Lepisosteus oculatus: one gene and its partner. The protein of the gene in region 2 interacts with the protein of the main gene of each other region in a biochemical or structural test. Links are inferred from orthologs where the notes say so. Each region holds a gene or a part of one and is shown on either strand. Other genes may lie near its edges. The genes, in order: skap1 and fyb1.

What was found.
Region 1: the proteins of fyb1 (region 2) and skap1 form a complex in vitro, tested with the Homo sapiens proteins (2 studies listed by BioGRID and IntAct, with this or other methods). The link is inferred for Lepisosteus oculatus from reciprocal best matches to the Homo sapiens genes FYB1 and SKAP1.

The regions. Positions count from the first base shown.
Region 1 is NC_090723.1:9,184,871-9,192,466, forward strand, and holds the start of skap1 (src kinase-associated phosphoprotein 1), read right to left. Parts: upstream 3,578-7,596; 5' UTR 3,334-3,577; coding exon 3,294-3,333; intron 1-3,293. UniProt on the Homo sapiens protein: Positively regulates T-cell receptor signaling by enhancing the MAP kinase pathway. Required for optimal conjugation between T-cells and antigen-presenting cells by promoting the clustering of integrin ITGAL on the surface of T-cells.
Region 2 is NC_090698.1:16,135,729-16,143,750, forward strand, and holds the start of fyb1 (FYN-binding protein 1), read right to left. Parts: upstream 3,540-8,022; 5' UTR 3,441-3,539; coding exon 3,432-3,440; intron 1,858-3,431; exon of another isoform or gene 1,779-1,857; intron 1-1,778. UniProt on the Homo sapiens protein: Acts as an adapter protein of the FYN and LCP2 signaling cascades in T-cells. May play a role in linking T-cell signaling to remodeling of the actin cytoskeleton. Modulates the expression of IL2. Involved in platelet activation.

The DNA of each region.
Region 1 (7,596 bases), on a different chromosome or scaffold from region 2:
CGGGAGAAATCCGCTTCCACCACCAGATCTGAGGAGTTCAGCGGCTTTAATTCCCCGACAGTCGGATAAGCGGGAATCATGCGCGTTAAAAAGGGGGCTGGCAGGCAGGGAAATGAGTTGTTTACAGGAGTGTCAGCCTCGCGGGCGCGATAAAACGGCGCAGAGCTCCCTCGTCAACACAGAGAAAGAGAAACGGAGGTGTAGGTGGCATTCTCACTCACATTAGACGGACCTAATGAAGTGACAGGCCCCTGACAGCTCCAACCTACACTGCTCTTGCCACACTGCAGGACAGGGGGCACCGTGTAGACTTTAAAATCCTCATGCTCACCTATAAGGCTCTGCATGGCTTGGCACCTCAGCACCTGTCTGAACTATTATCGCCCTACTCCCCACCTCACAACCTCCGCTCTTCTGACTCTGGTCTCCTTACTGTCCCCCAAGCCCGTCTACATTGTATGGGCGACAGGGCCTGCTCCTGTTATGCCCCCAAGCTCTGGAACTCTCTCCCCAAGGATATCAGAGTCACCTTCTCTAAACTCCTTCAAATCCAGACTCAAAACCCTCTTCTTCAGAAAAGCCTTTACTTAACTGGTTCCATTCTTCACCCCTCTGCTTTTCTTAGTACCACCATCCACGGTCTCCTCTGTGTATTGTCATTGTGTTTTATCTTGTGTATTCTTCTTATTTATTGTTGTTATCATTCTGTAAAGCGCTTTGAAATGCCACCTTTAAAGGCGCTATATAAAATAAGTTTATTATAATTATTATTATTATTATTATTATTATTATTATTACTAGCACTCCAAGGAGGTGGGTAAGCCCACGTTGCTCAAATCAGCGATCAATTTGTCCACTTAGCTCAGGTGTTGAACCCCTCAGGTTCTGGAAGGCAGTACAGTCAGTTTCGCTGCCCCGCGTCTCTGAATTACTTCATTAAGCAAATGACCTTCCTGCTGCAGCCTTTAGAAACCAGTGCTTTAAGATAAGAATGGACAACTTCGGTCTTCAAGGGCCAGGGGTCTTCGGGATTTACTGGTACATCCCAATCAGCAACTTATCAAAATGTAAAACAATCAGGGTTTGTGACTTATACTCATAATGTGTTCATTTACGATCAGAGACAGAAAGAAAAGCTGAGTGCCCTGCTCTAAGTAAAGAGCTTCAGTGCAGCAGAAATGTATGTTCACTCCCAAACAATTAGCGCTTCAACAATTTTAATTTTAAAGTTTTAAAGTTAAAAGCGCAGATTCGTAAACTTATAAAGCAGGTTTTTAACAAATCAGCTGGGATCCCAAGCTTTTTCGATGTGCTGCATGTTTCAACTCCCCTCCCCCTCACCAATGCAGAATTTATGGTCTCAAACTGAACAACTCAGTGAGTCTTCACACGCATCTCTCCTACCCAGCAAGCAGCACATATTCGACAACAGAGAAGAATTTCTCAGGTGCATCCTCTGTGCTGGGGCTTTCCAAAGTAAGTGAGGAGCGAACCACGTTCTTCCTGCACGACAAATTTACAAAAATAATTTTGCTAGGAAGCACCAAGTCAAATCCAAAGACGGTCAGTTTACATTTACATTCATGTCTCTACAGCCCTGCCCATCAGAAAAAGCTGTGTAAACCTTACAACCTCGGTGTGATCTTTTACACATACAGCTGATGCTCACCATTCAAATCCCCTCTCACTCTGTAGACCACCTACTTTGTATCCTTTGACAAAAAAAAAAGACTTTCCTCCCCATCTCCTTGTTCTTGCCCAAGCTGGCCACATCTTCATGCCCACCACTGGGTAATCAAACACTGCTTTATTGCATTCGCGGGATTGTAGCATCTTGAAAGATCGCTAAGCAACTCTCATGCAGGAGGGGGACCCAGTTTGTCTGCCACCACATTGCAGCCCCACCTGGGTGCCGCAAGCAGCCCCCACAGCACACTAGAGCAAGGGGAGGAGTGCAAAACTGCTGCACCAGTTGCATTAAGACGGAACTCTAAGGAGGTCAGATTGTACAGCAGTGGAAATCGGCCAGGACTACATTAACACCCCCATATTCTGGCATGAGGTTGCAACACTAAGTAGTTAGGCCTGGATTCAAAACTCTCATCCAAATGATATCTAGTGGAACGAGGCCTTTTACAGTAGACAAAACCTTGAAAGCCAATTAAAAAACATTACAAAATTACACCGAATGTACACATGCAAACGTCAGGGTTTGTTTTGTTTTGTTACAGTACGTATCTGACAGGGTGTTATCCATGCCCGTTGACCTATGCAAATACTTGTCAAAGGACTGATACACATTGTTCCGGAAATGCAAATCATCGCCTGCAATCCAAAACTCACATTTGCGCCTTTTAATTCCAGGCCAGTTTCAGTCCTCACCCATTTAAAGCCATTTTTGCACATGCCAATTTGGATAAATTCCAGTACATACACACGAGTACCCAGGTGTTCGAGGTCCCCTCTCTCTCTCATTCTTATGCTGTAACAGTATTTAAGCGTGCTTTTGAAATACAAAGGGGGAAACAAAAACACGATTCGGAGAGAAATTCACAAGCACAGCCCATACAAGCACCAACTCAAGCAGATGGGTTAAATGGTACCCGAGCCGCGCCCCGACTACATCAGCCGCCATCGGACTCCTTGTGACGCCCTTGAAAACTCCCAAGCAGCCCAAATTCAGCTACTTTCCCCATGAAGAGGCACCAGCCTTCAGACTCTGAAAGAACAAACTTCAGGGGTCTGTAAAACTACAGATTCACGACTCGAGGGAGCGCCTTTCGTCTGTCCTAGGCCGCTTTTGACCGGTGTCCTGCGGCTGGGGCCGCTATCCTCCCTAGTAGAAAACGTTATACTTTAAAAAAAAATGATTTCCCAAAAGCGTCAGGAGCGGGTGGCCACAAAATGGGAATCCTACAGCTTTGTAGGGGTGCACCCGTGACAGTGAATGGGTTCTCATCCCGGTGCTAACGACGCTTTCCTGGCCTAATTCGGCGCGTCCAGGCTACCACGCCACCAGCGTCGCCAGTACGATCAACCCAGCGTCGCCACAACGCATTTCTTTCAAAGAGGGAGCCTAGACTGGCACCGCCAGCAGATAGCAGATCAAATGAGCAGTCCTTAGTCATTCTCTGTTGCTGCTGGGTTTTTTAATTTAACGACGAGTCCAGCGGGACAGAGCTGAATCCTCCAGTGTTTCCCAAGCCGCTCATGTGAAATTCTCAGGGATATCTACAGGTTACATTTAAACTTTAAAAAAAAAAAAAGGTCAGTGAACGAAAGCTGAAAGTTACCTTCGAGAAGTCTTTTAATGTCTGCGGGGACGACGTCCATGCTTGCGCGTCCTTGCTCCACCTGATGCGGAGAGGTGTTGCGGTCCAGGTCGAGCAGGGCAGGCGAGCGCTCGCACTCGGCGACGGGGGAGAACGAGCCTGACCTCCACCTCTCCACCTCCGCCGGTGAGCGCGCCCGGGGCGGGGGCGCGGGCGCGCACACGCGCAGGCACCTGCCAGCCCCGCAGAACTGAAATTGAAAGCGGGCGCGCGTGGGTCGGGTTTAGTCAGAAAAAAAAAACTCCCTCGCGCTTCAGCTCCGTGCACAGGGTGTCTCGGGTTCACCCCCCCCCCAGCTGCAGAAAAAGTAGCAAGCGTACTTCTCGTGTTGTTGCTTCGTACAGATGCTATGAATCGTAAAAACGAGCACTTTAAGATACAGCTGTTGAGATGTTAAAATGTGAACTTGAAAAGCGTGCATTTTACTTTACTGCTTTGCGCGCCGATTAATTCATAAACACAGTTACATAAGCCTCCCAGAGATTCAGCTGCTACACCTCCTCCTAGCAGACATTAAATCATAGGTTTTGATTCTGGGGGAGGATGACGGGGGGAGGGGGGGGCGTTGCGTCACTCTTTTATATATTTATTCTCTGAAAGGGTCGGAGTTGCCGTTTGAGAGACAACTGTTAACGCTCGAGTGCTTCCTGATGAGAGACTTAGAGACGTGATTTCCAGATTTGGAAAAAAAACAAAACAAAACAATCTTTTCTTTCCCCAGCTGAGCGCGAAGTCCGGGGGGCCTGTCGCGGCGCGCTGACAGACTCCTGGCTTCATCCGCGCCTCCGAATTAATTCCCGGGCGCGCCCGAGTTTGAATCCTTGAACGTGCGGCCCCCACCTGGGTGATGCGCCAGTCCGCTCCCCCACACACCCGCTCTCAGTGGGGAGGAGAGCAGAGGGATGAAGCCCGTTCAGAGAGGGGGGTTCGAATCGTCAGAACTTGAGGGGTGAATACAGACCCTGCCGAAAGGTGAAGATGAAGACGAAAATGATGTGTTAACATGAACATGTCATCTTTTTTTCACAAGCTGCTTCCTACGAAGTGTTTTCCATGAAATATGTATGTTTTTACCTGCAACTATGGCCATTAAAGTTATTAGTTTGGGATTTTGTAACAGTCTTTTTGTAGATGCCCTTTGCAACTCCTACAGTGCTTGTTAATCCTTTTTTGACATCATCTGCGAACTTGACCAATTTGTTATTCACACCAGAGTCCAGGTCAGTGACAGAAATTAGAAACCTCAGTGGTCCAAATACAGACCCCTGCGCTGCTCTGCTAATCATATCACCCCTGTTTGAGCATGTACCCTTTTGTACTCTGCATATTAACCAGTTCTCTATCCCAATACATAATCTTGAAGGCTTACCACCTTATATTTTTCTGAATAACTGCATCAAAAGACTTCTGGCAATCTTGAATATATACACCATATATTTTGATCTGATTGTATAAGGGGTTTGAGAACATGTGCTGTAGATTGCTAGTCTTAAAGTGATGTGGATTTTTTCTCTCCTGAATGGCCAGAGACACGATGCGGTGTTGCAGCTACTGGTGTTTCTGTAACCTGAAATGGGGGGGGAATCGAGCCTTTTCCGGCCCCCAGATGGGAATCAGCAGTGGGATCAGTGGGATTGATGGGATGGGCTCAGTGTCACCCAAGGGACAAGGTCCTGGCATGTGTGCCCAGTGAATCCCAGCTGTGGTCCCACAGTTCCAGTCCTGCGGGGCTCCTCACCTGTCTGTGACCCATCAAGACCACGAGCAGCAGGCCCAGGCGTTGTAGGGAGTGTGTAATTCAATTCCTTAAGCACCTGAGGCGGAGAGACATCCAGGTCTGGAAAAGTTATAGACACAGGAGGGCCTGAGCCAGCACCATCCAAGACATTGTATTTTAGGATTCATTGTCTTAAAGGTCCTCTTTATGAATGATTAATCTGCTCCCTAACTAGACAGGAGTTCCTCAGGGTTACCAGTCCTTGAGCATTTTGGGAACCCCAATGAGCCCTGCACACCGTTTCCCCAAACTGTGAAGGGGGAGAGACCCCCTTGCTTGCTTGCAAGGCGGTTTTCTGCACAGAAAACTACTTTTGGTTTTACAATACTCTAAATACTAAATACTAAAAATGCCTGTACATCAGTGGAAGTGAAGCCTAATAGGTAATTCTAATCGCAGTACTTTACATAAATTGTCTGTGATAAAAAAAAACGGAGGTATTTTCCAGTTCAGCTTGCATAGGAGCTACAACGGATTAACTTGAACGTTTTTTCTTTACAAATCTAAGGTGGTGCTGCTCGCTTTGGGGCAAAATCTTAATCTCCTCCTCACTCAACGCTCAATCTATTACAGGCGAACTGTGCGGTCCTGTCACAGGCGGGAGCTTTTCCTTGTCAATTCGATGTTGTCATACACATGGTAACGACGGCAACGACAATAATGGCGGTAGTAGCCTATAATGGCGTTGCCTTCCATTTTAATACCCGTAATTAAAAGTAATCCTAGCTGTATAAACCTCCTTCCTTCTTCAGACATGCTGCGGCACATCACACGCGGTAAAATGGGCGCAAGTGACTAATGAGTAATATCTCAGCTCTGGATATCGCTCACTTAAACACAGATTAGCTGCTGAAGGCGTATCTTTACGTCAACAGAATTATCGCGCTTTCAGCTCCTGTCTCAATTATTGTCTCAGCCCTTTGATAAAACAGTGTGTTTAACAAATGTTAGCTAACCTTTCGAGGCCTTGGTGCAGCGAACGGTTGCCTCTCATCTCGACTCGCTCGGTTCTGCCCACCCCGGGGCTGGCCGTGGCGTACCCCAGGCCGGGATACCCCGCAGGCCCGCGGGCCGGGTGCCCGAGAGGGGAGCCGGCGGTGACACTACCCATGGCGATATGTTATCTGTTCTCCATCCATGCACCTATACCGTGTGCTTTCCAGCGTTTTAATGCATATTTAATGTGCTTAGACGTTGTCTGAGGCGCTGGGCAACGTGAAAGGCATCTTTTTGAAACATTGCTTTTTTTTTATTATCGGTAATAAGTACCAGTAGCAGCAGTAATAAATCTGAAATCGGCGGCACGGTTTATTTTAGTGCGAAAAGCTGACTGTTTTCCGCCTCGGCGCGGATATAGCCCGGCCCCGCTACCCGAACCAGAATTTCAGAATCGCTGTCAAATCACCGGAAGACGCGTGATTAAAACACGAACGGGGTGGTTTAATTAACGCGACTTCATTTTCTATCGCGCTGCACAGCGCCCGAGTCCATCCTTTAAGGTAATGAAATCATTTGTTTTAAGCTCACGTTAAGCTGCTGGGTAATTAAATGAGACGCCGATGACTGGGCGCTAATGAAGTTTTAGCCCCACAGGTTACGGATTAAGCTCCACGCCAAAGCGGGCACAGGGTGGGGGGGTGGAGCAGGTCTGCTGCTGCCCACGCCACGGCGCACAGGAGCTCACTCGTCACCCGGGTCGTGGGTCCTCCATAGACACAGAAGCCAGTTAGTTTGTGAAGAATATATACATGTTAATGAAAGGTCTTCTGCATTCGCCATCACCTCTGCCTCACCCTGTCACCTGACCCAGACACACAGGCCAGGAGGAAGATGAAAGCAGCGTGAGCATTTTAATCATAATTCAGAAATGTGTCACAGTCACAGTCTAGAACGACATCCTTGCTGTTTCCTAACGCAGCAGGTGACCGTGTCCAGTTCAGGAGGCCTCAACGCACAGTTCAAAATAGCTCAGCTTGTCTGGTGATGGGGCCCCTTCCTTTAGCTCGGACACATCGCACATAAACCTTTAAAATCCTTCTCTGCACAAACACATTGAGTATATATGTATATTTCACCCCCTATCTTCTGAAAATAAAGCATGTGGGTTATTTTCGGTGCCGGCCGAGCTCGGAAAGTTTCTCCTCGGAAACCCAGGTTAGGTGGAAGCTGTTGCCATGGTGACCCGAGCGGGACGCCGTGATTGGCTGCCTGGGCGGCCCAGGTGAACACCGGACGCAGCCGCTCAGAGCAGGCGGCGGGAGAGGCCCAGGTGGCCCAGATGCCGTCTCTCTGCTGTGAGAGGGCAGAAGAGGCTCTTGCCTGGCGATAAGGCCTCCTCGGGCCTGGCTGGACGCGGGCCGATAAGGAAGGAATGGGTCAGTCTGGGGGGGAGGGTCAAGACACGCAGACGTCCCGCCCAGGCTGATGGGAGAGCTGGCGCTCTTTCAGACGCGCTCCAGTGGGCCCGAGCAGGAGTCCCGAGGCTCG
Region 2 (8,022 bases):
AGGTCAGTAACCTTGAGTGTTTCGAATACTTGGTTGAGATCCACTCTTAGTCTTCTCTGTTCAGGACTGAAAGGATTGAGCTCTTTCAGCCTACCTTTGTAGGATATATCTGTTTGCTCTTGTCTGAACCTATTCGAAAGCGAACTGCTTTCTTGTATCTTGGTGACCAAAACTGTAGGCAATATTCTGAATGAGGTCATACCTCATAGCCACATGCAATTCCTTACATTATATTAAAACAGCCAGGTGTTTTTCCAGTCCTATAGTTTGTGTAAATCCTTATGAATACAGCTTCTGCAATGTTTATTAATTCTTCTAGTAATCATGAATATATTTTACAAGTGAACATTAATAATGAGCCTGCCGTTCTGTTACAAAAACTGCACTCTTTTCACACTCAGTAAAGAACAGCCAAGAGGAAATTTGATTAAAGTTGTCAAAAACTTAAATAAAACTGCTAAGGTTGATAAAGGGTAGTTATTTCGTATTGTGCATCTCTGCTATATGACTAACCAAACAAGAGAATGTTATTTCTGAATGGAATAAAACAGCAGTGTGAAATGTAAGTGCTGGGACAGACTTTAAGATGACCTCCAACAAGACAGGAGAGGGCATGTGCGACTCTCCTGCAAAATTAAAAAGACCAACTTCTAATAAGAATCTTTTAGATTGCGAGCAACTGAATGAGAACTGACATAACAAAATGTGTCACGTGTGACAAACATTAAATAGGACAGGCCCCAATTTTTGTTTGTCCCCCAGGCTGAATCAGATAAAAAAAACTACAGTTTTATAGCAAAAGTAATTACCCCTATGGAGACAGCAAAGAGATGTAATTGACAAGTTCTGAACTGTACAGTGTTGGGGCAGCAATCAAAATTATTACTTGTTTAACACTCTGCTGTGTCACTCTCCAAGGTGAAGAAATACAGCCAATCAACGACCGAAAAATTATATTTCATCACCATACGTGATGCAGTATGTACAGAAATGACATGTTTCTCAATATTGAAAGAAATGACATTCTTTCATTATTCCTCTTCCTTACTTCTGTCAGCTGTTTTAATCTGTTTCTGTGCACATCAGGGATCCGACAGTGTTACAGCTCTTATACACCTGATCGCTCATGGTTACCTGGCCAGCCAACAACTCTTATACACCCAATCTCTCAATGGTTAACTGGACAGTTGAACACTCTTATACACCTGATCTCTCAATGGTTATCTGGCCATCTGAACACTCTTATACACCTGATCTCTATATGATTACCTGCCAAGCTTAAATATCTTATACACCTGATCTCTGGTGTGAGGCTTTTGATGCAATAAAACCCATAAGCAGCTGTTAAGATGCTCTATTCCTGAGGGACATAAATAATTAATTGATTGGATTAAATAAAATGTATTGACAGTTCAGCACAGAAACTTTAGGCAGAAATACTAAGCCATTGTACAGTGTTGTCATTTTTAAACAGTGTGTTTTCACAGAAGTCCATATAATACAGTTCTCGCAACTTTCTCAAGCTTAAGTTAAACTTAGAGCTCCTGGTGAAAACAATAAAAAATCAATCCAAACTAGTCTCATGTCACTAGAGCTGGTAAACACTGGATTGTTTAAAACCAAATAATTATTAGAATGATTTTCATTGAGCACAAAACAGAAAAATAAAACTATTGGTACAACAACATTTCATATATTAACTTATGCACACATATTTGAGGAATGGTAATGTTAATAATTCCTGAATCCCTACAAAATAGCAAAACGTTTGTACTTACTAATGACAACAAGATCAGGAAAAACAGCTCCTCTGCTTGCTATTAGCGTGTGCCTGCAAATTCATGTTTAGGGAAGTTGGCTCAAGTGGTGAAACTATTGCTAACATCACTATTTCACACAGGATACAGTTTCACATAGTTCTCGTAAATGACAAAAAAACAAAGCAGCACAGGAAGAGGAATTCAACAAATCCTTGGTTTTAGTTAGGCATTTCTTACTTTTGGTCTGTACAAAGTGAGCAAGATTTCAAATTTGTCCCATTGAATCGTGCTGCAGACATTAAGGGGCATAAGTATTTTGAGTACTCACTCATTTGCCAGTTCCTGGGCCATGTCACATTGTAGACACAATTACAGTACCTGCAGTATGCTCAGTGAGGTTTATTCTGGTGTGGCACTGAAAACTGGACACTGAACACTGCAGAGACTGGCAAGACTGCCTTGTGAAAGCGAGGGACCATTTTAGCCTAAGACAGTTTAATTGGTGAGAGCTGTACTAGTGTATGTGAGTCTATGAACACACTGTATTTTTATTTTCTTCTTATTATTATTGTCAGTAATATTAATAATAAACTTTCAAATGTCATTTTATCCCACAGGATGCCAATGCTCTTGTCACACAGAAGGGTAGCTTCTTCATTCCCCTATCAAGTTCAGCTCTCAAGTTCATATATCACCTGGGTGATATGTGGCAGCTGTTCTGCAGAAGCAGCCCCACTGCACAGCAGATCATTCAGAGACATGAGAAAATGCTTCTCCGATTGAACTAAGGGGAAATTTAAGAGAAGGCCAGATTGTACCAGTCCAGAGTGGAATTTAGCCAGGGAAAGGGGATTAACTCCTGGGTTTTCATAAACATTGCCAAGACCTGGATTTGAAGTCTCATTAAATGGATGGCACCTCCTACTGTACATCACTAATCCCTAGTCGCCATTGCTGTTATTAGTTTTGATCATCTGGCAGAGGGAAGAGCTCCCACTATTGGTTCACCAATATCACAGTAACCTGGTGTCTTCTGTCCCAGTGCAGGCCGGACCTTGCTTAGTTTCCGAGATCTGACAGGATCAGGCTACAAGGTGCTATCAATGTATGTATTAAGGTAACTTTCTGGAAAATACTCTTCTCCTTATGAGGAATGATTGCAGTTGTGAATGGATATGTTCAATGAAAGCCTTAGAACGACAGAAAAATGTACCAGTTACAACAGAATACTCGCCTGATATGCTCTTCAAGTAAGGATATTGTCTATTTTACACAATCTGTAATTTGACTTTCGACCATGACCAAAAGGCAATAATAAACCAATACCAAAAATCTAAGAAACAGAAGATTGAAAGCCATATGATTAGGGTTCATCAGGCTTACAGTATAATAAAATCATGGAATCAGGAAACCACTTGCTGAATAATTGAACTGATCAAAGACCGACAATGTATGTACTGTTTAATAACAGCTTGTTAAGTAGCTTCCAGCTGAAGATATAAAATGTGACAAATGCACAGCCTCGACTGGAACTGTGGAAGAGGATGATTTGGCGATTTCTCCACATCTACCCCCTACCAACAAAGCTTGGAGTCTTTACAAAGCCCATCTTGCAGGGGTGTTTCTTTAGCACAATAAGTAAAAAGTAACCCAAAAACATGATACACTAACCTGCTCCATTAACGTCTTATTCTCAACAAACTTCAGAAGAAAACTGTGCTTCCAAGAGTCTCAATGTTACTGTTGAACGTAGACCCGAGAATATGTTTTAAACAAAAAAATCACAAAGTTTAGTTTTCTCTTTTTAAACTTCCCAGCTTAGGACAGTCAATTATTATTTACCCCTCTTATCTCTGGTTTCTAAAGATCATAGACCTCAGAGTCATTGTACTTTTAAATGTTGTACTATGAACAGTAAGGTTGTGGTGCCACCTAGAGGAAGGAGACAGCACTTGCAGGGACACACGGTATCCTTTTCCTTTCCGATTCCATCTTATAGCTGGATTATATTATATATATATATTATAATAGGTTATATATTAATAATGGATTAGATGGCTGGACTATAGCTGGATTATGTGCAAAAACTGCTGAGACCTTTTCAGGTATCGTAGAGATTTCCCTTTGCAGCTGTGTTTCTGTCAGACTATATTTCAACTTCTTTTGCAACAGGGGGCATAACTCACTGAAGGACTCCTGTTACAATGCATCAGTTTTAATTCCTCCAATGTCACAGTGTTGTAACTTCAGGAGTTACTCTTCCCTTCCAGAATTTTGCAGGTTTTATCTTAATTGGGTTATTGCATTTCAGGAAAGGATACACAAAGGTGGCTTATATTTCACTGTATATTTTATATATCATGCTTCTGAACTTGCCCTAACCTGAGAGCTGAAGCCTGACCAGTTACATATTGATTTGTGATTGAAAGTTTTCTTTGTATCATGACAATAACTAATTTTTTTGCAATGTTGATCGTTCAGGTAGAAACTTTGTATTATCATTTTTAGTGAGCTACCTAAATGTGTGTGGGATTTTTAGAACCCACGTGAAATAAATAAATACAACTGAAGCTGTTGAGCAGCGCAGGTGATCATGAAAAAAATTACACAGCACAGTTGGTCACAGTCTGATCTGAAATCCAGACTCTCTGTGAAGTTTCTGCCATTTCACGACACATTCTTAGTAGCACAGTATCTAAATTGCACAGTGATGAAAGAAACAAGGAAGCTCAGACCACATGCAGGAACCAGACACAAATTCCCCTGGCAGAAAATAACATCAGAATAAAAATAAACATCACAGAAAAAATGCTTACATGAAATTTTAAGCCTATGAACAAATTGATATTTCTATACCTAAAACAGATCAATTAAAACATGTAGGCTTGTTTGCGTTGTAGTGTAAATTTAGTGGTACTGCTGTCCTTTGATAAAATATACTGTACAAAGACCCATATAATATAACACCGCCCTATTGGAAAGGGTTTAGCAGGTAGATACTTTGTCTTCTTAGTTGTGTTAAGAGCTCTTACAGCTCACACGATCAGACAATTGGTAAAGATTGAGTCAAACCTAATCTAAATAATCTAAACTGATGTCTGGAATATCTGATATACAGTAGTTTCTCAGGTGCATGGCTTTCTGGAATCTAAAGTGAACACAGGTGAGTTCTGGCTCACTGAATGGCAGAATGTGGGAGCTCTCAGGTGCCATTGGCATCAAGAGTAAAACATTTGTATCTCACTGAGAACCTGAGAAAGTTTACAAAAGGCTATTCAACTCATCAGGGTTTGTCACTTCTCTAAAAGACAAGTGGAGTCCAACAAGAATTTTCCTGTAAGGGAAACTAAGGTGACAATGAGTTCGGCCTCAGCAGCTGGGGGGGGGGTTTCATTCCCAGACCAAAGGAAAAGAAAAACACAGACATAAGCAAACAAAAGAGGAAGAGAGAAGCTGAAAAATGCTGAGCAGTTGAAAGGAACTTCTTTTCAAACACTTCACTGCTTCACTCATCGTACTGGTGGTGGCAGTACTGTTGCGTCTGTGCTCCCGCCCTAGGTGATACAATGTGACATATCACATCTTACAGGTCCTGTAGTTATGGTGTGTGTATGAATAGCACCCAAGTTGCCTCTTTAAACTGGGGTACTTCTACTACCACAAAAGCGTATTGATAATGACAATCCTATTGATAATGGAACATGCTAAAGAGCTCATGTGATATCATTGAACAGCAGGCTACTGCTCCCACTGCTGTAGCACAATTTCTTCCACAAGCTTTGCAGCCTGTGCCATGCTCTTGCATCGTGGAAAGAGTCTTCATCACACCCTTGCTCAGCAAATGGTTGTAGCAGCAAAGGAAACGAATTAATAACAGTAAATTATGCAGCCGAGAAACCATTGTGATTTCAGATGGATTCCAGGGTCAACAAACTGTTGAGATAGTGTGTCAGGTATAAATTTATTTGGTGGCTTCATGTCATATCAGGTGTGTTCAATTGATCAAAGATTAGCAGTCTTTGATTCTTTAACAAAGGTTTTTTGCTCCATACCTTTTATACTACTTATACATAGGCTAAGATACATGTACAGTGTATAATTCTTGCAGATTTTTCCAGTTAACAACAGTTGGCATGCTTAGAGCATTTTTAATTTTGCTCTGATAGTAAGGAGATGATCAAATACCCTGAATGGTGTATGTGAGTGTTTCCATAAGAAGCTGAACATTAACTCCAGTGAACTCCAATAATATAATAGAATGTGTATTATATGATAATTAATGTTTATTTCTTTATAGTGCCGTGAGATTTTATCATTCTGCCTCTCACACTCGGCCCTTGCACAGATAAAAGGACTTCAGGCCACATGATTCCCTCGGGGGGATATCAAAAGTTGCATATAAGAAAAAAAACTTTTTAACATGCTCCATGATCACTGTGAGCTCCACTGTGAGCAACAAAATAAAGTACTGCTGGAAAGCTAGTACTGTACATGAAGTGATATAAAACACAAGTTTCGGTTCTCTAACATCAGAGGGGACAATGTGCTTGTCAAAGGTCTTATGCAACACATGCACTGATATGAGATAAGCTCTATAAATAGGGACTGAATACTACATCTATGTTGTCTAAGTCTTGAAAATTTTACAAGGGAAAGCTGCTTTGAAAATGCAGACATTGTGAGAACTGCTTAAAGATGGAATTTCCTGGACAGTACAATAGATGTCACAAACCAATGAATTTAAAAAGGGTATTTACTGCATATACTGTAGAAATACCTTAGACATCTTAAACACAGTCAGGGGTTGCAGTATGAGCATGTTATCATCATCACAAACTACTCAAAGCCTCCACTAATTTCTTTACTATTATAACAAGTTGTACTGTTATTAATACAGCTTGCTTTGTGTGAGAAGAAACTCGTCATCCAGTTTTTACTTCACATCAAGTAGTATATTCAAAACCCTAAGTAGAACGTTTCAAGATAAACTAGACACGAGCAAGTGATAAAACCTAATTCATCACATTTTGCAATCAAATCTAATTGACTCATTGTGAGGTGTTTCTCTTCTTTAGCACTATTTGCTACTTTCTACAGGAATCGTTTCTTAAGATGCTCGTCCCTCCCCTGTTAACAAGTCTGTAGACATTTTCTACAGTGCCTAACAAAGTGATCACCTTTTGTTGCTTTAAAGCTTGCAGTCAGGAACTTTCAATAGGTGTTAGATACACAACTGACTTTACACTACTCCACAAAGCAAAAAAGTAAAAGAAGGAAGTAAATAGATAATTAATATTAAAGAAAAATTGAATAATACTGATTGCATGTTCAATGCTGTTACATATGGCTACAAACCTGAATAGCTTAATTGGACCTCAGCTTTCGCGTACAGTAGTTCATTTGTGCCTTCATTGTGTTTCTCCAGCGTTGAACTGGGCTTCTTCACTGACTATGATTCTGGACTGTGTTTCGTTCGCTACAGCCACCTGTTACTTACCCGTTTGTCTGCCTGTGCCTGCTCTTTGTTTTATCGTGAACAATGGACCGCTGCTTAGTTACATACATTAGTGCACAGGAAAATACGAACGCCAGTGTTCTCAATTTAAGGATTTTCTTGCACGCTGTGCTTTAACTATGGAAAAAGAAAGCAGATTGGGCATACACCTCTCTAAAGGAGCATTTGAACATACGGTATATTAATTTAAATTCTTCATTTGAATGGGACTGATTGGAGACCAGGAAACACAGATAGATGAGCCAGATAAAGAGAACAACTACCTGTTATGATGTCACAGCTGCTTATTGTCATAGGTGTCTAGATATATAAAACACACACTGGGCTTATAAACAACGTAATACCCTACATCAAGAACAAGAAACTATTCTGACATTGCTCGACAAATGTTCTTAAATGGAAAACAGCAAATTATCACTTTGTTAAAGAGAAGTTATTTTATTGCACAAGTGATCTCCTTTTGTTACAGCAACGGCAAACATACAGTACTGCCAATGCTTGTCAACTTCCTGACATGTTCGTTTCCATTGAGAATTTTACTTCAACAAACCAAACCAAAAATCACTACAGTATGTTTTTGGAGATCCACAGGGGTCTTTTAATTGGTACTGTACACTATCTTCAGTTCTCAATTGATCTGATTACTGGTTCAGCTGTGTACTACTGCACGATAAGAACACAACAGTCTTGTATATCAGTAGCTCAATTGTACCCACACATTATTTCCATCTTAAATTGTGAGCAAAA